3 linked regions of the Elephas maximus indicus genome follow. The protein of the gene in region 2 purifies or fractionates together with the protein of the main gene of each other region. This does not show direct contact. Links are inferred from orthologs where the notes say so. Each region holds a gene or a part of one and is shown on either strand. Other genes may lie near its edges.

Evidence for each region.
Region 1: the proteins of MAPK3 (region 2) and DUSP6 purify together in Homo sapiens (affinity purification with mass spectrometry; 7 studies listed by BioGRID and IntAct, with this or other methods). This does not show direct contact. The link is inferred for Elephas maximus indicus from reciprocal best matches to the Homo sapiens genes MAPK3 and DUSP6.
Region 3: the proteins of MAPK3 (region 2) and DUSP9 purify together in Homo sapiens (affinity purification with mass spectrometry; 4 studies listed by BioGRID and IntAct, with this or other methods). This does not show direct contact. The link is inferred for Elephas maximus indicus from reciprocal best matches to the Homo sapiens genes MAPK3 and DUSP9.

What each region holds. Positions count from the first base shown.
Region 1 is NC_064822.1:153,391,774-153,399,245, forward strand, and holds the start of DUSP6 (dual specificity protein phosphatase 6), read right to left. Parts: upstream 2,811-7,472; 5' UTR 2,762-2,810; coding exon of another isoform or gene 2,619-2,761; 5' UTR 2,350-2,618; coding exon of another isoform or gene 2,219-2,349; coding exon 1,819-2,218; intron 1,171-1,818; coding exon 733-1,170; intron 1-732. Other genes in the region: uncharacterized protein LOC126076469, read left to right, coding at 2,217-2,349, 2,619-2,761, 2,811-3,102, 3,482-4,130. UniProt on the Homo sapiens protein: Dual specificity protein phosphatase, which mediates dephosphorylation and inactivation of MAP kinases. Has a specificity for the ERK family. Plays an important role in alleviating chronic postoperative pain.
Region 2 is NC_064830.1:89,118,875-89,125,944, forward strand, and holds the start of MAPK3 (mitogen-activated protein kinase 3), read left to right. Parts: upstream 1-3,988; coding exon 3,989-4,152; intron 4,153-5,232; coding exon 5,233-5,415; intron 5,416-7,070.
Region 3 is NC_064846.1:2,702,228-2,709,086, forward strand, and holds DUSP9 (dual specificity protein phosphatase 9), read right to left. Parts: upstream 2,625-6,859; coding exon 2,249-2,624; intron 1,556-2,248; coding exon 1,100-1,555; intron 840-1,099; coding exon 511-839; downstream 1-510. UniProt on the Homo sapiens protein: Inactivates MAP kinases. Has a specificity for the ERK family.

The sequences.
Region 1 (7,472 bases), on a different chromosome or scaffold from region 2:
ATATGGTTGTGAATGCCTTTTATACAGACAAGCAGACTGCAAGGGTCTATTAAATTATTCTCCAACTGTTGTGCAGCTAACAATGGGGGTATTCAGGCATTTTAAAAGAGAGAGGGAAGTCACAGGGGACAGCCCATTAGGAGGAACAGGATGTCGACATGGCCTGAAAATGAGTTCCTTTGTAATAGGAAATGCATTACAATGCCTGGAGATTCGCTTCTCCCAGGCTTCCAGCCCACAGCTCTTCCTGCTGGGTTCAGGTTACAGGCACTATCTCACTGTTACCAGTATCACAGTATCATTGAACTGGACAATATTTCGCATTCAACTGCTTTCCAACAATTAACTTGATGTCCTAAAATAACTCCAAGATCTTCTTTAAACTATTAAGTAATGCCAGAATTCCTGTCTACAGAAGGTACTTCTATTTAGCCCTTAGATGTGGGAATATTCTGTCTGATAATGACTGTCATCTCCTCCCCCTTTCAAATGACTGAATTTAAAGATTTCGAGAAACAATCAGCATTTCAACTACACCCGTGGTCTGCAAGCACGTCAAAAGGCACTTTGCTTAGCAAGAAGGTAAACCAGTATTAAGAACGCTCTCTGAACCTTAGAGACCTGCAGTCCAACGAATTAGCAAATAGCAAGAACAATTAAAACGTTAAACTCTATGAATAGCTGGAAGTTTTACATTTAAAAGTCAGAGCAACGAGTGTCAATTAGCCTCACCTATGAAAGAAATGGCCTCAGGGAAAAACTGGGACAGGTTTTGGCTCCAGTGATCCGAGATGGGGATCTGTTTGTATTTAAACTCTCCTGCGTTCTCAAAGAGATTCGGCAAATTGGGAGTGACGTTCAAGATGTACTTGATGCCAAACTCCTCCAACACGTCCAGGTTGGTGGAGTCCTTGGCACAGCCCAGGTAGAGGAAGGGCAAGATCTCCACCGGAAAGGAAGGCTGACTGTTGGACAGCGGGCTGCCATCCGAGTCCGTGGCACTATTGGGGTCTCGGTCAAGGTCAGATTCAATGTCGGAGGAGGAGTCGGAGCTGATCCGCAGACCCCCGAGTCCCAGCACTGGCAAGGGCGGTGAGCTACTGCTACACGAGCCGTCTAGATTGGTCTCGCAGTGCAGGGCGAACTCGGCTTGGAACTTACTGAAGCCACCTGCCAGGACGAGAAAAGCAATACTGTAACCCGAGATCCCGTAGTAGTTTTCACAGCTTGTGAGAACCGCAGGCTGGCGGCAGGAAACGCCACGAGCACCCTACAAGCCCCTTCCCCTCCCCCTACACATAAAACCAAAAAAGAAAAGAAATACACTTCAATGTGCACCCTCGGGAGAGGAACGAACGGACTGCCCGCTTCCCCTCGGATCTCTTCTTCTTTTCATTCCGGAAGCACACAAAATGGCAACTTTTTCGAATATTTTAAGTGACTAAGAATAAGAAGTGCCAATCTGCACCGAAACGACCTCTCCTGTTCTGCAAATCTTAATTCAAAATCGATCAACAGAAAGCAGGAGAAGAAAGATGTTGCGAGTAGGCAGCCAGAGAACTCGTTGGAAAAGAACGGCCCGTGCCGGCGGCCGGAAGCGGGTGGCTTCTGCGCGGGACAGGCTAGCCGGCGCGGAACGCACGCGGTTTACGGCCCCCGCCGGGTGGCCGGGCCCTGGCGAGGCAGCGTGGCATCAAAGCGCCAGCCGAGCGCAGCAGGGGCATTTTCAGTCCGTAAGTCCCGCCCGCAGTCCGCGGCCCGTAGCTTACACCCGGGCGCCCTCCGCTCAACGTGGCGCGCGGAGCCCCGGGAGCGTACCTTCCAGGTAGAAGGCCCGACAGCCCTCGTCCTTGAGTTTCTTGAGCAGTAGCCCGAGCACCGACTCGCCACCCGTGTTCTCGTTCCAGTCGCTGCTGCTTTCGTCGTAGAGCACCACCGTGTCAGTGCCGCAGCGCCGGGTAAAGCGGTCCCGGTCCTCGCTGCGCGTGAAGAGCGCGCGCACCGGCAGGTTGCCCTTCTGCAGGCGCCGCAGCATGATGCCCGGGATGGCCACGTTGATGGCCGACTCGATGTGAGACGACTCGTACAGCTCTTGCGGCCGGCAGTCCATCAGCAGCAACCGCTCGTTGCCCAGCTCCAGCTGCTCGTTGAGCCACGCCACCGTCTTGCTGATCGCCATTTCCGACGCGAAGGGCACGGGTCTGAGCGTATCTATCATGGGGGTCGAGCTGCGGGCGAAGGCGGGGTGCCTACCAGACGCCCCTCGGGGCAGGCATAGGCCGAGCGCGCCGCGCGAGCCCGCCGCTCCCGGAGCAGGGTTTGATTCCGCTTCGCCTTTCCCAAGCCGAGGTTAGCGGTTGGGGAAGGCGAGACAGAAGTGAAGCCGGCGGTTCCCTCTGCGCCGGGCTGTCAATGGGTCTCTCTGAATGGAGCTGCCCAGGCAGTTTTGTTCCTCCCCAGTGAATGAAATCCAATTAATTTGGACTCCGGGCTACCGAAAGGGAAGGGGAAAAAAAGTCCAGGAGCTCCTAATCCCTCCCTTCAAGGCTGCACCTCAAATCCACCCGGGCGTCTTTCTCCTCGGATTATTCAAGCCTCGATTTGCTCACTGTCCCTAGGTCTCAGCCTTCGCACAACCCTGCGCGAGGCTGCTCCTCAATGGATACAAACAGCGAGCGTCTCAATGGATACATTCTCGGAGTCAGCCAATGAGCGAGCTGCGGAAGGGGCTGTTGCCGTGGGGACGGGCCGGCTGGAACAGGTTGTGTTGATGAATTGTTAATGAGTTTGTCATTCACAAAAACGGAAAGGAATTTCCGCTCCGGATAAGCCCCAGTGCAAACAAGCTGCAACAGCGGGCTCCGCAGGAGGAAGGAGAAAGAAAAGGAGGCGGTGGCGGAGGAGGAGCAGGGCACATAAACCAGGGCACTTCAGTTGTCTCATGTTTCCTTTTGTTGAGAGTTCACACTTCGCGTCGGAACTTTTGCGCACAAATGGTGCAATTAGAAGACACAAAAGCCCTTGTTCGAGACGCCTATGTTCGCGAGGTAGCTTTAGGAAAACTTAAGCTGACTTTTTCCCTTCAAATTCACTCGGGCCCGAGTTCGCCTTGACCCTCCCCCTCCCCCCGCACTTCTTTAGGCAGTGTGTGGCATTTATTTATTTGCCTGTTTAAAAAGGCTAGCTCTGTTTGCTTGATGTTCTTTTAGCCGAGGCTTTGTTGGGACTGGTGAACTGCCTGGGCTTTAGTGACCGATGAAGTGTTAAATGCTAATCCTACGTTTTTCGAAACAAATCAGGACTTGGTTGAAACATTTTAAAGCAAGCAAACAAACAAATGTCTGGTTGTCTAAACAAGCACAATGAAGTTTTTTTTTTTTTTTAACTCTTTTAATTTATCAAATAAAAAGTGGAGGCTGCAAAAGCAAACTGGTTGGGCAGCCTGATGTTTTATTTCGCTCTAGTGGCGTGGGGCGTTAAGAACGACTGTTCTGGGGACCTAAATCACCGCCCTTCCGCCACCCATCGCACACGGGGGGGTCGCGCTCGTTAATCATTTCTGGTCAGCGAGCTCGGCTTCCGACTGAGGAGCCGGTCTGGTGGGACTGCCTAGGTAAGGTGCGCGAGGGCGCGCTGGGCCAAGCCGGCGTCCTCGCCATCAGCAAGGTGGGAAGGAAGTCCTGCCGAAAGGCTTGCAGGCTGCGGGGGCTCAGCTGGCGGACTGGACGACTGGTTACTATAGACAAGGACTCATGTCCCAGGGGCGCCTCACTACACCCGGCCGGCTGCAGCCTTCACCCCGCCTGGCATTGTCCCCCACTTTGGCCTGGCCCCCCTTCCCTGCGCAAGCTACAGCACCCCCCACCCCCAGCGCCCGGCACACGCGGAGCCCCGGCCGCGCTTGCGCGCTGCGCTCCTTGCCGCTGCCCGCTGTACCACCTCCCGGCTCGGCAGGCACCGGGCGTTGCTCGATCTCCCGGACCGGTGCGGAGGCCGAGAGCCGGCCTCTGGCTTCCGTGCGGCCTGGGACGGGGTGGGGGGTCGAAAAGGAGTGCCGACTTGGACTCCCTGGCTCCCGAGGTGGGCGGGGAGTCGCGGGGAAGGTATCTACGGCTCTACCAAGCAAGCAGGTAACCAGGGGAGCAGCTAGCCGGGCCGAGGCGTCGCGGGGCGGGGCGGGAGGCCGGATGAAGGCGTGGCCGGGCGGGGGCCGCGGCGGCGGAGAGGCGCGTTCCGGGCGCGCAGAGCGCTTTGTTATATAAAAGTGGCCTGGCCCGTCCTTCGCGAGCGGAAAACCACCTGTGTGCGGCCGGCACGGCCCGGCGCGGCCGGAAGGCGCGGGCCCTAATCCGGCCAAGTCCCCTCCCTAAGCCTGGGCGGAAAAGAGGCCGCGCATTGTCCTGCGGCGGCCTGGGAGGCGGAAGCGGGGGCAGAGGCCGGCGGGGAGAAGGTTTTCAGAGCGCTCCTCCCGGCCTCTGCACCAACCCGGGCGGTAGCTGAGGGCGCCTGAGGTCGCGGGGTCTCCTCTCGCCCGATGCCCCGCGCTCCTGGGCCTACCTGCTGAAGCCCCCGCTGCAGTTTGCATTTTTAATCACCCGCCTCTTCACTACTTTGGAGAATGTTGGTTAAAAAAAGGCGGCTGCGAGGACTAGGTTGCCAATTTTGGAGCTCTCGTGGAGGCAGACAGCCCCTGGAGGAGCTCGCTCTGCTAAAGTGGGGGTTGCCGCGCTCCTCTCAGGGCGCCTTTTTTGGGCAGCATTTGGAACTAAGATCCCAGTTCTGCAGATTCTTCTGGAAATCTGCCCATTCCAAGTCGGGGAGGCCTGCGTGAATTTGATGTCTCTCATCCGTCCCCTAGCTGTTAGGGACGTTCCCACTTCGAGACTAACGTCTCGAGGACCCGGGGACGGGGTGGGGAGAGGCAGGACGCCCGGCATCGGAATTGAGATGGGCACAATCTTTTAATCCAGGATCTCCAACAGAAAAGGCAGAGAGGGAAGTTGGTTTCTACTCAAACCCAGTTTGAAAGTGCTGTTACTTGAGCTTCAGCAGAGATTTGGGAGGACAATCCCAGCACTTCGCCAACCTGAATAACGAAACGTTTAGTTTTACCCATGGTTCTCTATTGCGTGAAACCCTACCGCTACAGGAATGTCGTTTCTTTGTGGCATCTTTAATCGTTCGGCATCGAGGCCCTCGGGAGTGAGGCTGCCAGGGTTTGAATTCTGCCCCACCTCTTCTTAGATGTGTAACCTTGGTTAAATCATCTAACTGTTCGAAACCGCAGTTTTCCGCGTTAGTACGATTAGTGTAATAATGATAGCAGCTTCATAGGGTCGCAGTGTTAATTGAACGGGTACAATGAAGTTCCCTAATATGGTGGAGGTGTGCTTTAGCTTAGTTCATACCAGTTTCATTGTTCTGAATTGGGAGCCGGCAAAATGATCGGGATCCTTTTGGACATTTCTTTCCAACCCAAAGATGCCCTTTGAGGCCTGCCCAGCCCCCCAGCCGCCACCCGCCCCCCCGCGCAAACTGCCCTAACTAGTTTATTCTATTCCAACTCAGCTGTCAAGCAAAGCAGGTGCTGTCCTGACCAAAAAAAAAAAAAAAAAAAAGCCAGTTGGCATTGAGTAGATTCCAACTCATAGTGACCCCATGTGTGCCATAGTAGACCTGTGCTCACTAGGGTTTTCAGAAGCAGGTCATCCGGCCTTTCTTCCCAGGTGTCCCAGGCGGGTTGCTAACCATTTCCACCACCCAGGTACCCTGGTGCTGCCCTAGACCAGGCTTAAAATCCTTTAGCACTCTTAATAAAAAGAATGCTACCTTTCTAACTTCTCTGGACTAAACAACAACAACAAAAAAAAAACCCTTGCCAAGTCAAGTGAGTTCTGACCCCTAGCGACCCTATAGGACAGAGTAGAACTGCCCCATAGGGTTTCCAAGGAGCTGGTGGATTCCAACTGCCAACCTCTTGGTTAGCAGCCAGGCTCTTAACCATTGCACCACGAGGGTCCTCTTTTAAAGCACCATATGCTGCTGCCACACCACACTGATACAATAGAAATGATGTGTAGTGGGCATGGTCTCCATTTATGTGCTTATGTGCTTGCAAGTGTATAATTTCAGTCAGTCTTCAACAACCCATTTGCACTAGCCGTATTTACAGAGATTAAGGAATTTGCCTGTGGTCACACAGTAGCAAACAGTGGGTTCAGGATTTGAAGCCAGGTCATTCTCAGTCTCTTAAGGATTACCATATATACAGATGATGGGCACTGTGGACACCATACTCACCACCCAGGGCTGTTTGTTGCCTAAATTTGAAGGATTTCAAGGTCTGCATTTTCTTTGCTGATCGCCAGGCTTTTCCAGCCTCTTATATTATGTTGCACCCGCCCCACAAATCTCAAGGATCAGAAGTTAGGCTTATATCCCTGATGCCTTTACATGGGTTGGTTTTCTTTGCCTGCAGCTCTTCATTAGTCTACCAGCCACTAAATGCGTGTTCTCCCTTAAAATCTGCCTTAGATTCTAATCCTCACAGCCACTATTGTCTAGTGTGTCAGCGTGGTACGTGGGCTTGGGGTCAAATCTTAGCTCCGTCATTCACTGGTATTCTGACAGAGAGAGTCACTTAGCCTCTCTGGGCCTGCCTGCCTACCTCCCTCCCTCTCTCCCTCCCTCCCTCCCTCCCTTCCCTCCTTGTGCCAGGAAAGCAGCTTTGAATAAAACAGATGAGAATACCGACACACCTGGAGTTTACATTCTAGGGAGGAGAGATGATAAATAAAATCAATTGTTATACAGTATATTAGAAAATGAAAATGTATGGAGAAAAATAAAGCAGGGAAGGGAACTCAGCAGTATGTAAAATGGGGAATATGTATACCCACGTCAAAGGACTGAGAAGTAGGGACAGCCAAGATAACATAAGAAAAGTGTAGGGCATAAAGCAGATACTCAAAAGATGGTTTTTTAAAAACCACTGCTTCATTCCTCTAGAAAGCTGAAACGGTGTTACTGGTGACCCTGTCTCCAATCTCACCTTCCTGACTCATCGGCCAGGCGCCCAAGAAAAGCACCCTCAGAAGATAAGCGTTCTTGCCACCAGACAAACCACAGGCTTCCTTACTTGCAGAGGCCTCCGAGGGTATCTGTCATTCATTATGTAGAGGGCTATGTTCAGCAAGGCATCTCTGAGCCATTGTAAGTGCACAGAAGCAATGTCACAGATCCTCTTTTCTCTCTGTGTACGTGTGTGCGTGCACCAAACACACATGCTTCAATTCTTCCTAGTGTTTCCCCCAAAAAGCTCCTTAAAAGTTGTTAATAAGGCTCAAATAAACCCAATACACTTAAAAAAAAAGACTTGTTTGTAAGTCTTTTGATTATAACTTTTCACTTGGCTATTGAAGAAGCATTCCAGCTTTGCAGGAATTCCTGAGATTGGAGGCATTTGAGATTTA
Region 2 (7,070 bases):
TCCTGATCAGATAATATGTTAATTTTCTGATTTTGATCATTGTATTGCGTTTATTTAAAATGTTAACATTTAGAGAGTGTGGCGAAGGGTATATGGAGATCCTTTGAACTATTTTTTGCAACTTTTTGGTCAATCTAAAACTATTTAAACTGAAAAGTTAAAAAGTAGAAATATGATAATATGAAATTACAGTCTGACCAGTTGTAGAGGGGATGGCTTTGGCAATAAAATGAGAAGAAATTGGTTGGATGCGGAGAGAAATGGTAAAATGAAAAACGACAAGGTTTGATCCTGAGAGAATGGTGGTAATACTAAAGCTAATAGAGTCTGGAAGAGAAACAGGTTTGGAAATAAAGAGGATGACTTTCATTGGACATGCTGAATATTTGTATCAGCTAGCCTCCAGGTAAAGCTGTGCAGCAAACACTGGAAATCTGGCACCAGGATGAAGGAGAAAGGCAATGGCTAAGGGTAGAGATTTTACATAAAGCAAAAAGTTGATGCCATAGGAGTGTGATGTGACTAAGGGGGATGGTGAAGAGAAAAAAGGCTGGTGAGAAGAGGAGCCCAGGGAAGGATGCCAGTAGGGACTGGCAGAGGTGGCGACAAAGATTTCAGAGAAAGGATTAGGTGAAGAAGGCCTATTCCTGAGGAGAGATGTTTGGCCATAGATATTCTCCAATATTTGAAGAGGTGTCATCAGAAAACTACAGCAGAGGTTTTTTAGATTAAGAAAAAAAAGTGTTGTTGTCATTAAGTGCCATCCAGTCGGTTCCAACTCATAGCCACCCTATGTACAAAAGAACGAAACACTGCCCCTGTCCTGCACCATCCTCACAATCCTTGTTATGCTTGAGCCCATTGTTGCAGCTACTGTGGCAGTCCATCTCATTGAGGGGCCTTCCTCTTTTTCACTGACCCTCCACTTTACCAAGCATGATGTCCTTCTCCAGGGACTAGTCCCTCCTGACAACATGTCCACAACATGTGAGACAAAGTCTCACCATCCTTGCTTCTTTCTGCTTTCATTCTGGCTGTACTCCTTCCAAGACAGACTTGTTCGTTCTTTTAGCAGTCCATGCTATACTCAATACTCTCCGCTAACACCAAAATTCGAAGGCGTCAATTCTTCTTCACCCTTCCCTTAAAAAATGGTCAGTACTTAAATCTTGACAAATTTGTAAATGCCCTCTGACCTCTATTTCTGCGTACTTGCTACCTTCTCGGTTAGTGATGATTAGTGGAGTTAGTTGAAATGGGAAGGTTCATTTGTGCTCTGAAAAAACAAGGTTCCAGTCCTTGAAATCACAAAAAGTTAAGAACTGGGTTTAAGATTTAATCTGGGTAAATACAGAGGACAGAGATAACCAACTAGAAGCTGCTAAAAAACTCAAACAAAGCAGTGAGCTGGGTGGGACATAATGAACTACCTGGAGAGGAAAATGATTCCTGGGGTCCCTTCCAACTCTACAATTCAATAAGCCTCTGTTTTTCTCTTCTCTTAAAAGGAAATAATAGTATTGACTTCATACGGCTTCTGTAAGGATTACAGGAGCTAATGTATATAAAAGTGCCTGGCACAGAATAGATGCTCAGTTTCTATCAGTTGAATGTGAATCAGTTCAATGGACTAAGAAATCCCAGTCCAACCGTCCGAGGAAATACCAACCACAGCCACTAGAGGGCAATCTCGGTCACTCTCTTCAATGAGACAAGTGCAGCCTGAGGTTGCAGGCGGCCTCACCGGATACACCAGCCTTTCCTATGCCGGGAAACACTCCCACTCAGGAAACCTGGCTTAGTGCTGAACTCCACGGTGTTTTCTCTGAGTCACTATATTCTCCTGCAGTTGCAAAATGATCTGGCAAAAATCCCTCAAAGGCTCTTACTGCTCACTGAGTAACATCCAAACTCCTTGCCAGAACCCAAGACCTTCCCTCACTCGATCTGGCCGCACCCAGCCAGCCTAAACTCCCCTTACTGCTTTAAACCCCAGTCACACTGGACAAGGCATGCTCCCGACCCTGTGCCTTGGCTCAGGCTGCTCCTCCTCCTTGACACCTTTCCTCTAGCCAAAAAAAAAAAATAGCCAGGCATGCTGAAATGCCACTGTTTTTCCAATGGCTCAATGCCACCTCCTCCATTATCCCTCCCTCACTTTCCCAGAAAGAGTGATCTCTCCCACCCCTGAGCTCACACTAGATGTTACATCCATTTATCTTGTATCCAACTGACTTATGTGTATACATTTTATCTCTTCAGTAGATAATAAACTCCAGGAACAGAGAGGCCAGTAGGTAATTTGTCCAGGGTAACACAGCAAGTGAGTGGCAAAAATGGGATTCTAACCTGGGCAATTCGGCTCCAGAGAACTCCTGCTCTTAACCACTAATTCATACTACAATCTTTCACCAGCTGCAGTGCCTAGCTCAGAGCTTTGCACACAGTGACGTTGAATAGTTTATCAGATGAATAGCTGAAAAAACTTTGATCTAATTTGCACCTCTTGAACCGTCATTGAGTTATGGGGTGTCGGGAATCAGCAACTCATCCATCAGAGTTGGAGTGCCTGGCCGTGGGTCTAATGATGAGCAATTTCAGAATTCTAATTACGATTCCGTTTTGCCTTTTGGTCTGGAACACATACAAGGATCTAAAAACATCCTTACTTACTGAAGCCTAGGAGATGTCTCCTTTTGTGAAGCTTCCAACGTATATTTTCAGTGTGAAATGAGGGAGGTGGACTGGATGCTCTGAGGGTCTTTTCTTCAGTTCTAACAGTCTGACTCTGAGGGACTAAGTACGGGATCAGAAAAAGCTTCTGCCTCCATATCAGGAGACATCATTTTGAGTCTCAGAGCTGTCATCACCGTGAGGTGACTGTTTACCCAAGTCAGTTAATCCTAGTCTCAGCTTCCCCATCTGTAAAACGTCATCTATTCAGTGCCAGGCACGGGGAGGGGGGGATGATACAGTAATGGACAGACATGGCCTCTGCTCATTCAGCTAAGAAAATCGGATGACACTTATATTTTAGGGTTGTCCTAAACTGAAATGATCCAAGCATTCTGTAAACTGCAGTGTCTGGTACAGGTTCACGATGCTCATCTTGCCAGGGTTCCCATTTTGCCAAATCCAATGGCAACAAAAACGTTTCCAATTTTGCGGTTTTGGGGAAAATCCAGATAGTGTTATCTTAATCAAACCCAGTCACCTCTGCATGCGGCCTTCTTGCCTCTCTCCTGCCTCCCAAGTAAAAGTTGGCTGGGGCTATCTGTGCTCCGGGCACTAATCAAGCAGCAGACCGCCACTGCTGCAGTTGCTGGCAGAGGAGAGGTACCCACAGCCCACTTCCACAGGCTCTGTCGACAAGCCAGACGCTGGGAATCTGGACCCCTGGGTTCACCAGCTCTCACTTGAGCTGAAAGGCTCCAGGTCACCAGGCCCCTCTGGAGGCAAGCCACATCTGTGATGAAGCCATCTTGCAGGGCTACTGTGAAATACCGAGGCTTATCAGGGGCGAGCCTGGCCAAACGACAAGGGGCCGGCGAGGGTTCCATCTCGAACCCCTGGGCGCGCCTCGGCCGCAGCCCTTCCTTCGGGAAGTCAGCGACACGTCCCGGCTGCACCACACACCCGCTGGACGGCTTCGGGACAAGTTCACCGGCCAGCCGTACTGGGCTCGTCTCTCCCCGGGGGGGGCGGTCCGGACCAGCCCTAAGACCGCCCCGTGGAGCCCGCGGGCGCCGAGGACCACAACGCCCGCAGGAGACAATCTGGGCGCGCTCAGGAGCGGACCACGTGACGCCCGCGGCCCAGCCTCGAGCTGCGCGGGAGCCAGGGGGCGGGGCGCCAGGGGCGGGGCGGGGCGCCAGGGGCGGGGCGGGGGCGGGACCCGGCGCGCGCCGCTCCGCGGTGACAGGGCGGGCGGGAAGGGGCGGGGCCTCGGGCGCAGCCGCCGGGGGGAGGTGGGAGGGGAGGAGTGGAGATGGCGACGGCGGCGACTGAGGGGGGCGGGGAGCCCCGGGGAGCTGATGGGGTCTGCCTGGGGGTCCCGGGGGAAGTGGAGGTAGTAAAGGGGCAGCCGTTCGACGTGGGCCCTCGCTACTCGCAGCTACAGTACATCGGCGAGGGCGCGTACGGCATGGTCAGGTGAGGGGGCGTCCCAGGGGAGGGGGCTGTTTAAGCGATCGGGGTGATTTAAGGGGAGGGGGCTCCGAGAGTGGGGGAGGAGAGGGGAAGGGGTGCTGAGTACTTCCTGAGATGTGGAGACTCGAGCGTCCCGAAGAGGCAGGGGACTGAGGAGGCTCGGGGAGCGTCCCGGGGAGGGGACCTTTGAGTGCCTTCTGGGGGAGGGGGCGCTGCGTGCGTTCCAGTGGGAGGGGGCTTGGAGGCCTTGAATGGATCATTCCATACTGAAGGGAGGGGCTTCTGAGTGTATCGAGGGGACCTGTGGGGACCTTGGGAGGAACGGGTGGAGACCCGGGGCCGAAGAGGTTAAGTGTTCTTGGGGAGGTAGTATCCTAAGGGGGAGTAAAGGACCTTCTTTGGAGAGAGGATGCCTGGGATTCTCCCACTGAGACTGTGCCAAAACAGTTTGGGAGAGAAGAGTAGCGCTTAGGGCTGGGCAGGGTGGGGCAGGGCTTTGGGCTGGGGGCCAGAGGCCCAGTGAGGGATGAGGGCCAGGAGTGCCTCCCTGCATCCTTTGGGAGGGGTCTGTGAACTCTCCCAGCCTCACCGGCTGCTCTGGGCTTCTGTTCCTGCGGGAACAGCTCTACTGCCCAGGTACTTCACCCTGACACCAACCCCTGCCTTGTCCCTTCTTTCCAGCCCTTCCTATGGCCCCCTCCGTCTCACTGTATTTGCCTCACTGTATGTCCTCTATTCATCTCCATCCCTGGACCTGTCTGGGGTTCAGGGCGCACACCCTGTGGGAAGAGGAAGATGAAGGTTCAGGGCAACTAGAATGAAAGGGGGGTGAGAATAGGGGATGTCAGCGAGCGGTCAGCCTCTTCCTCCGTTTGTGAAGTCACCAAAGGGCTGCCTGGCTGGTCCCCTGCCTTCTCCCTAGAGATCCCAGGCCTCCCCAGCAGGAAGGAACCATCATTGTTTATGGCTTGACCAGAGCCCTCTCCTGCTCCCTTCCCTCCCTGCCAAGGCCTGGGTGGGGCTACCAGTCCTGGACTCCCCCTTTATAAGGCCACACCATCAACATCTCTCTGGCCCTCTCAGCTCAGCTTATGACCACGTGCGCAAGATTCGTGTGGCCATCAAGAAGATCAGCCCCTTTGAGCATCAGACCTACTGCCAGCGCACGCTGCGGGAGATCCAGATCTTGCTACGCTTCCGCCATGAGAATGTCATTGGCATCCGAGACATTCTGCGGGCACCCACCCTGGAAGCAATGCGGGACGTGTATCCTTCACCTCTGCCGGATGGCTGGCCAGGCGTGGCCTTGGAGCTGGGCTGGGGACAGCATTGGCATTCTTTCTGCTTCCTTCTTCCCTACCACCTTCCAGAACAAACCCAGTAAAAGAAACTTTCTGGCCCGAGAGGCCACACACAGAGTGTTAAAGGATTGGGGCCTTCATTGAATCCTGGCCTGCTGCAGCCAGGCCATGTAGCCTTGGGCTAGTCCCTTTTCTGCCCTGTGCCTCAGTAGGGGGCTGGGTGAGATAGTCTCTATGGGAGCTTTGTCTTCTGACATCTGCAGTTCTGTGACATGATCCAGCCTCTGCCCACAGTTGGTTCTTGCTTAACAGACTGATTCTTTGCTCTCTAGACCCCAGACTGGAACGAAGGCAGGAAGGAAGAAAACTGCCTTTCCTTGAGGGCCTACTATGTGTAGAGAGCTGTGCCTGCCAAGTGCTTTGATGGTTCTTATTCTCCCTCCCAACTGCCCTAAGAGATGGGCCTTGTGAGCTCTATTTCAAAGATGAGGAAAAGGAGACTCAGAAAGTCCAAAATCAAGTGCTTCTGTTGCTGCCTCTTCCCCTTTCCCAAATAAGAACTTGTCTTTTCTCTGGGATTTCCCTCTCAGAACCCCACCCAAGTCACCTCTGAACTTGAACCTTGCCCAGGGAGGGACAGCCTAACTTTTGTTGGCCTCCTCTGATATTGCTTTCCTGGTTTGTTGTCCACTTCCTGCCTGGCTCGATGGCTTCTGTTTTCAGCAGCTTATGATACCATCACCCCTTCTCCCATCCCAGACCGCCACCCAAAGTAAATAAAAACCAAACCTGTTGCCATCGAGTTGATTCCAACTCAGCAACCTTGTAGAATAGGATAGAGCTGCCCCGTAGGGTTTCCAAAGAGTGGCTGGTGAATTCAAACTGCCAGTGTTTTGGTTAGCAGCCATAGCTCGCTGTAGCTCTTAACCACTGCATCACCAGGGCCCCAGCCTCCACCCAAGAGTGGGGATTTGCCCTGTAGAGTCTGCAGCCTCCACCACAGACTGGACAGGGAATCTCTGTGCTTACCCTGACTTGCTGTGTGACCTTAAGCCAGTCACTGCCTCTTGCTGGGTCTCCCCATCTCTAAAGCAGCAGGGTTGGTCCACATGTCCTCAGAAGGCCCTTTTGAGGCTGATTCTAAAAGATATTCAGTACTTATTCCTCCAGAGACAAGCCAAATGGCATTTATTTATATTTAATATTTGTTTTATCTTAAAATGTAAATGTACATTTATTCCTCAATCTTCTGATTTTTGGCCAACGACTCTTCTTTGAGTAGGAGTGTGCTGTTGGGAGTATCTCCTCATTTTTCTTGCGCAAACCATTCCCATCAGGCAGGAATTTAAAAATAAGCAAATATTTATTGCATGCCAGATGGTGTTCATGCATTATCTCATTTAACCCTCTCAACAGCCATGTGGCACGGACATTTATAATAGTTGATGTTTGCTGATTACTTACTATGTGTCAAACACTGGGCTGACTGTTTTACATGGGTTTTGTCATCCTGTCCTCACAACCACCCTCTAAAGAATAGTTATTTCCTTCATTTGCAGATGGGGAAATAGAGGCACAGACAGGTCAGAAAGCCAGTGAGTAGTAGAGTAGGGATTTCAG
Region 3 (6,859 bases), on a different chromosome or scaffold from region 2:
CAGGGACAGGCCTGGGAGCAGAGCCCTGTGGCAAACCAGGTGGCCTTAACAGGCACACACCCTTTCAGGAGAGAGAAGATTAGTGGGACGGCCAGGGCCCAGTGAATGGCCCCTCCCAATGAGAACCCCACCCCCACCCCCAAAGAGAAAAGTAACAGTCGCAGCAGAGGCAGGTTCCGGAGCCGAGCCGGTTCAGCCCGAAAGTGGCGGCAGGTTTAATAGGCACGTTTAATAGGCTCCTCGCTGATGTTTCAAGTGGGCAGGACAAGGCTCTCCTCCTCACCCCTGCTGGTGAGACGAGGGAGCCGGGAGCCGAGGGAGCCGGGCCTTTGAGTATCCCAGGCCCCAGCCCCTGCCTCTTTCCACCGCGCCATGTGAGGTATTGTGCTCCCTCCCCCAGCCTCCTGCCTACAGCTGAGCCCCCTCCCCGAGTCCCACCCCACCCGCCCCCTCCCCCGCCACGTGAGGTGGTCAGGAGCACCCGTTGAGAGGCGGTGGGCATGGGGGGCCTTATGTGGGGTCCAGCTCAAAGACGCCATCGCTGGTGGGGGTTGTGAAGAAGGAGGGTGGGTCATTGGAGGTGGTGGATCCCTGCCCCCCACTGTCGCGCCCCTGCGAGCGCCTCTCCTCCAGCCTCAGGCTTCGCTCGAAGTCCAGCAGCTGCCCCATGAAGTTGAAGTTGGGGGAGATGTTCGACTTCTTCCTCTTGACCAGGTCATAGGCATCATTGAGGGAGAGGTGGAGCTTCTGCATGAGGTAGGCCACGGTGACAGTGACGGAGCGGCTGACCCCAGCCAGGCAGTGGACGAGCACCCCGCAGTTCTGGGACAAGGCCTCATCTAGGAGGAGCCAGGGGAGGGCAGCCTGCCTGAAGCAAAGGTCCTCCCAGCCCCCGCTTGCCCTGTGACCCAGTGGCCATGCCAGGTCAGGCCTCTGGGAGCTGGCCCCAGCCCTGCGCACCACCTTGAAGTTGCCATCTTGCTTTCTGGGGAAGGGCAGCTAAGTGGCCACCTGGTCTGCCTTACAGAATGGGAGGAATTCTCTGAGGAGGGACCGGGAATCAGGTCTGGGGGGTAAGGGGGGACAAGGGGTGACTCACCAATGAACGCGATGGCCTCTGGGAAGAACTGGGACAAGTTCTGGCTCCAGTGGTCTGAGATGGGGATCTGCTTGTAATGGAAGTCGCCGTTCTTCTCGAAGAGGTTGGGGAGGTTGGGGGTGACGTTGAGAATGTAACGGATGCCCAACTTGGCCAAGCTCTCCAGGTTGGCTGAATCCCGGGCACTGCCCAGGTAGAGGTTGGGCAGGATCTGGACAGGAAAGGATGGCAGCAGCCCCGCTGGGGGAGGTGTGGCACCCTCTGAATCCAGGCCGAAGCTTGTGGGGTCACGTTCCGGCTCAGATTCTGCGTCAGAGCAATCGGAGCTCAGGTACAGGCCGCCTAGCCCCACGACGGGCACTGGCCCGGGTGCCTGGGCTGTGCTGGGGCCGCCATGGCCCTGGAGGCTGGTCTCACACAGGTGAGGGCACTCGGCCTGGAATCGGCTGAAGCCACCTGTGCAGGGAGAGGGAGGGTCCTGCTCACCTGGCTGGGGATAGGGAGCTAACCCCAGATGCCCCCAAAGGGAATGAGAAAGCCTGCAGCTTGATCTATACTGGTGTCCTCATGTGGATCAGGAGTCGCCCCACAGGCTGTGGGCACCCCCGCCACCACCCTGAATCTGCAGCTGCGGCTGCTGTTGCAGAAGGAGCCCAGGGAGACTGACCCAAAGTGGACCATATTCAGAAGGGAGCAATGGGCGCAGACCCAATGACCCTCCTTGGCCACCAACTGAACTGAAGGGGATGGGAAAAACTGGTCCTGTAGGCTCAGGGGAGCCCTGTTCCTGCCCTGGATGTTGGGGAGCAGCTGCATTCCCCCTCTCCCAGCCCCGCCATGACTGTATGCCCCAGAGCCTGGGAGCTGGTCTCCTGCTGCCCTAAGAGGTGGCGTGACAACCATGGGGAGGCCGGAGAATGTGCCAAGCTAGGTCAGGTCAGCCCAGTTCTCCTCATTTTCCAGACTGAGAAATCGGGGCTCCCAAAGGTGAAGGACTGGGCCAAGGTCATGCTCAGACCCCCAGCCCCCAGCTGCCTGGCAGGGAGTCAGAGAGGGAGTCTTACCTCCACTTTGCCCAAGGACGAATTAATTATGAATCCCCAGGGCGGGAGGGGCCCTACCTCCCCAGGCTGGGCTGCAGACACTTACCCTGTAGGTAGTAGGCTAGGTAGCCTTCCTCCCGCAGCTTCTGGAGCAAGGTGCCTAGCACCGACTCGGCTTCCCACTCCTCAACGGCCTCAGCTTCAGCCTCCCCGCGCCGCCGCCGCCCGCCGCCCTGGTCATACAGGAGCACGGGGGCAGGTGGGGGCGGCTGCAGCGGCGGCCCAGGCAGCAGCGCGCGCACCGACAGGCTCCCCCGGCGCAGGCGACGCAGCAGCAGCGCTGGCAGGGCCACGCTCAGCGCCCCACCGATGCGCGCCGCCTCGTATAGCTCACGGCTGCGGCAGTCCAGGAGCAGCAGCTGCGGCCGTGGGGGCGACAGCTCGTGTCGCAGCCACAGGCAGGAGCGACCCAGGCCCTCCATCAGCCCCTTGCGCTTCTGGCCACCGGCACTGCGGAGGAAGGGGAGGTGGCTGTGAGCCCAGGCGGGCGAAGTCGCCTCTGCTTCCCAAGGCAGGCGTCCGGGCCCGCGAGGCACCTCGCCATCGCCGGCTCCTCTCCTCCCACCACCCCAGCCAAGACGCACAGGAGGGCGCCCCGAAGGAAAACACGCGGTGTCCGGCACTGCTCCCTGCTCTTGCGAGAGGAAGGCTGGCCATCTGGTGGCCCCTTAGACGGCTGTGGATCCCTCGCCAGTCCCTCCAGGGACACCACAGGGCCACAGCCACGGCCCTTCACACCCCCTTTCTGCGTCTTTCAGCCTGCCAGCGATCACTCCCCAAGTTCAGGCTTTTGAGTTTGGGTGCGTGTGTGTGCTGGGGGCGGGGGGGAGTTCAAGGCCCAGTTCCCCCCGTCCACGGCCAGGCAGGCCCGGGCACAGAGGTGACACCCAGGTGACGGGCCTCGGCGGGCCCTCTTGGAGCTGAGGTGTCCTGATTTCCCCAGGGAAGACAGGACAAAAGGAGAGAGACCTGGAGTTGGGATCAGGCGGCGAGCAGCCACTTTCAGACGTCGTGGCCACAGCGGGGCGTGCGGCGCTGTCCCCGGGCGGCGAGTCCCCAGGCCCGGCTGCTGGGCAAGAGGCAGGGCTGCTGAGGAGGCGCGCACGTGGAAGGCCAGGCCGGCTCTGCCAGCGCTCCCGCCACTTGCTGGCCCTGGACCCAGCTTCTACTCTGGAAGCCGCTCCTTTTGGATGCGGAGCCGCAGCTCAGAGGGGCGGGGCAGGGGCGGGCAGGGGAGGGCTCAGGGTGGCCAGGGAGCCAACAGGTTCCAGCGAGAGCAGCTGGGTGGGCCCTGCAAGTGGCGCGCTAAGCTGGGGCTCCCACCAAGGCGGGACACGATGGGGCAGAGGCCAAGGGCAGTCAGGGGCCCAGGAAGGACTGGTCAAGCACAGCTCCCCTGGTGGCGCCACTCGGCCAGGAGGTGGGGGAGGGGTGGGGTGAGGCCCAAAGCCCAGCGTCCCTGCCCCAGGGGTTGCCTCCAACCCAACTGACTCAGTGAGTCTGGACCTCAGCGGCACCATCTGTATAGTGGATGCACGACAGCCACCACCTTGGGCTACTGTGGGATGCCGCTGACATCGTGGAGGGGAGGAAGAACCGGGATCGGAAACCCACCACTGTCTTTGGCCCAGAGCTCCCACCAAGGGCTAGGCAGGCAGAAGGCAGCCCCTAGGCTCCCCCCGTGGGCTTCAGTGGGACAGGCCTGGCCGAAGGCACCCAGAGGCTCTGACCTCCAAACCCCACCCCACCACACTCTGCTCCTACCACATTGCTCAACTCCTCAAACACATCCACCTTCTCAGCCAGCATATCCACCCAGTCACCCCGGCCAGAATCCTGGGAGTCACCCCTTAATCAGCTCCCCGCTGCCAGAACTCAGCCTTTCATTCAGCAAGGGCCAGTGGGCTCCATCCCATCCATAGGAACAGGGTGATAAGCCAGGCAGAACACACGGTGCTCAGAGTCTAGCAGGACAGACCAGCAGCAAACACAATAATGTCAGGTTGGGACAAGTGCTGAGACAATGAAACGGGACAATGTGATGGGGGGTTCTAAAAAGGTGATCGGGTTTGTCCCTTCTCTGCTTAAAATCCATGAAAAGCAAATCACAGTGTTGAAGGAAAATGTGCAGCACGTAAGACAAAGCTCGGAAATCAATCAGAAGCTTAAGACCAGGATTGATAAATGGGCAGGAATAAAAGAGGAAATGCAACTGGTTCGAAAATGTTTGGGGAAATGTTCAAGCTCAGGCATGGAGGAAAGCAAACCCAAAAAACCAGGTAACACTCCCCACCAACTACAGTAGCAAAATCAAAGCATTTCAAAATAAGAATGCCTAGTGCTGGCAAAGTTGCTGTGCAACTGGTATGCTGCTGTATTGGCGGGTAAAACCCTATTGGAAACTAATTTGGCAATATGTATCAAGAAAAATAAAAATATCCTTTCCCTTTGACCACTTCTGGGAATCTACCTGAAGAAAATAAGCTAAAAGAAGGAAAAGCTATCCACAGCAGGACGGACACCACAAAACGTTTTTTTAAGGCGTGAAAAATGCCAAGCAACCTGAAGTCCAACGTTTAGAGCAGTTATGTACGTATGCCTGTATGTCTGTTGAAAACACTGGTCTCATGAGCCAATAGAGCAAGATGAGAAAATGCTTGGGAGGTACTGCTGAGTGGAAGAGAACAGATCCCAGAAAGCTAGGCCTCCAGTTTGCCCCTCCCCCAGTGGGCCTCCAGCCTCGGACTTCTGGAGCACTGTCAGTGGACTGATCTCTAGCCATGCCCCATCATGTCCCTGCTTAAGAACATGCAAAGACCTACCCTCCCTGGCCTCCAGGGCGGTTTTACTTAAACCGCCTCCATGGGGGGAGGGTGGCCTCAGGCAGCTGGGCCATGTCCCCCTTTCTCTCTTGCACCTTGGTCCCTGCCTCCAGCATAGGTCTTCCTCTGCCATCTGTCCAGATTCTGCCCATTTTTTTGGACCCCCCCACAAGGCACTCTCCTTCAGGCATCCAAGAAAAACAGGAAGTCTCACGGGCCAGCTGTGGTCTCCCTCCTTGGTGCTCCCTGAGGCTGTCACTCCAAGAGCCTGCAGATTGGGGGCTCATTTGCCCCTTTCTCGGTGCGCTCCTGGGGCTCTTGTCTCTCACATCCTATCTCCAGGGAGGCATATGTGGGCACCCGCTGCAGCTGGGGACAGGACCTTGGGATGGGCAGGGGCTGAAGGCACCAAGGAGATTGCCCAGCATAAGTCTGCTGTGGCCAGCGAGGAATTAATTGGAGAGACATGTGCCCTGACTGGTCCTGCCATGGGGACTCAGTGTAGTTGGAGAGAGTGTCACCAAGCTCTGGGAGATAGGAGCTCCTGAAGCGTCTAGGGTGCTCTCTGGACAGGACCCCCTGGGGGTGACTGGAGCTGCAGGGGATGCCTAGGTCCCAATAACCCCCTGGGAGGACGGAGCCTGTGTGTCCCAAAAGCTCCATTGCGGGTCTATTGCTCCAGACCCCTGCTGGCGAGGCCTCCCACGGAGGAGCCGGTGGCCGGCTGTGCCTCGGTGGTTCCCGGCAGCCCGGGGAGGGAGCATTTAGGAGTGGGGGGGATTCAATCTCGAAAGTGAGTGCTCGGCTCAGTGCCGGCGCCAGCAGCGCCCGCAGCGCCAGCAGCAGGACGAACGAGAACCTGTTGCCATCTCCGCACTGCAGGGCTGAGCGCCGCCAAGCGCCCCCCCACCACGCCGAGGCCTCCCCGACTCCGGCCCCCTGCAGTGCCTGCTTGGGTCGCCGGCCCTGCCTCGCGGCCGCTCCCGGGAAGGCTCGGGCAGGGGAGCGCGCCGGGCGCCCGGGCCTCGCCAGGCCCGCTCTGGCGGGCGGAGCCAGGCTGCCGGCGGCGCGCTCGCCGCTCTCCGCAGGGTGGGCGCTGCACTCGCCGCCCCCGCCCTCTCCCTCTCAGGCGGCCCGGCGCGGCCAGACCCACCGGATGCCCCTGCCTTAGCCCCACCTGGCCAGCAGACCCTGGAGGCCGTAGGGGCGCCGCCGCCCTCAGGCCCCGCGCATACCGCCTGTGCCCTCTAGTCCGGGAGTCTCCGGAGAGCGGCGCCCCTCACCCCGAAATGCACCGTTCCCACCAGGCACAGTGGCAGGATTTCGGCTGTGGCAGCCTGGTCACATGGCCAGGAGTACAACTCCCAGAGACAGCGCTGCTGCCAAATTCAGTCTCTTTGCCACCAAATCCACTTCCTGCTGGGGATTGCTTTCTGGTTTTCCTGGTCTGTCCCCTGGCGGGACTGGGAGCTCCTCCAAGGCAGGCCAGTGTGTGCCCGGCCCCCAGCTGGCCCCAGCCCCACTGCCGACGCTCAGGAAGAAATGCTTGCTGACAAAGAAGACATGAATGAATGAATGAATGAAACCAATTGTTGCATGAGAGAGCCCAGGAGGGTGCCTCGTGCTTTTCCCTCTGCCTGTCTTCCCCCTCCCCCGCACCCAGACACGCACAAGCACACGTGCACACCCAGCCCTCCCCCACCACACCGCAGACAGGCACATGCACAGCACGCAGACCCCGGCCTTCAGGAAGCCACCTACTACGTGCTGGGAACAGTTGGTGCCCCTTGGGTCCCAGCAGGGCCACTTCGGTTTCAGGGCCTGCTCCCCGTGCC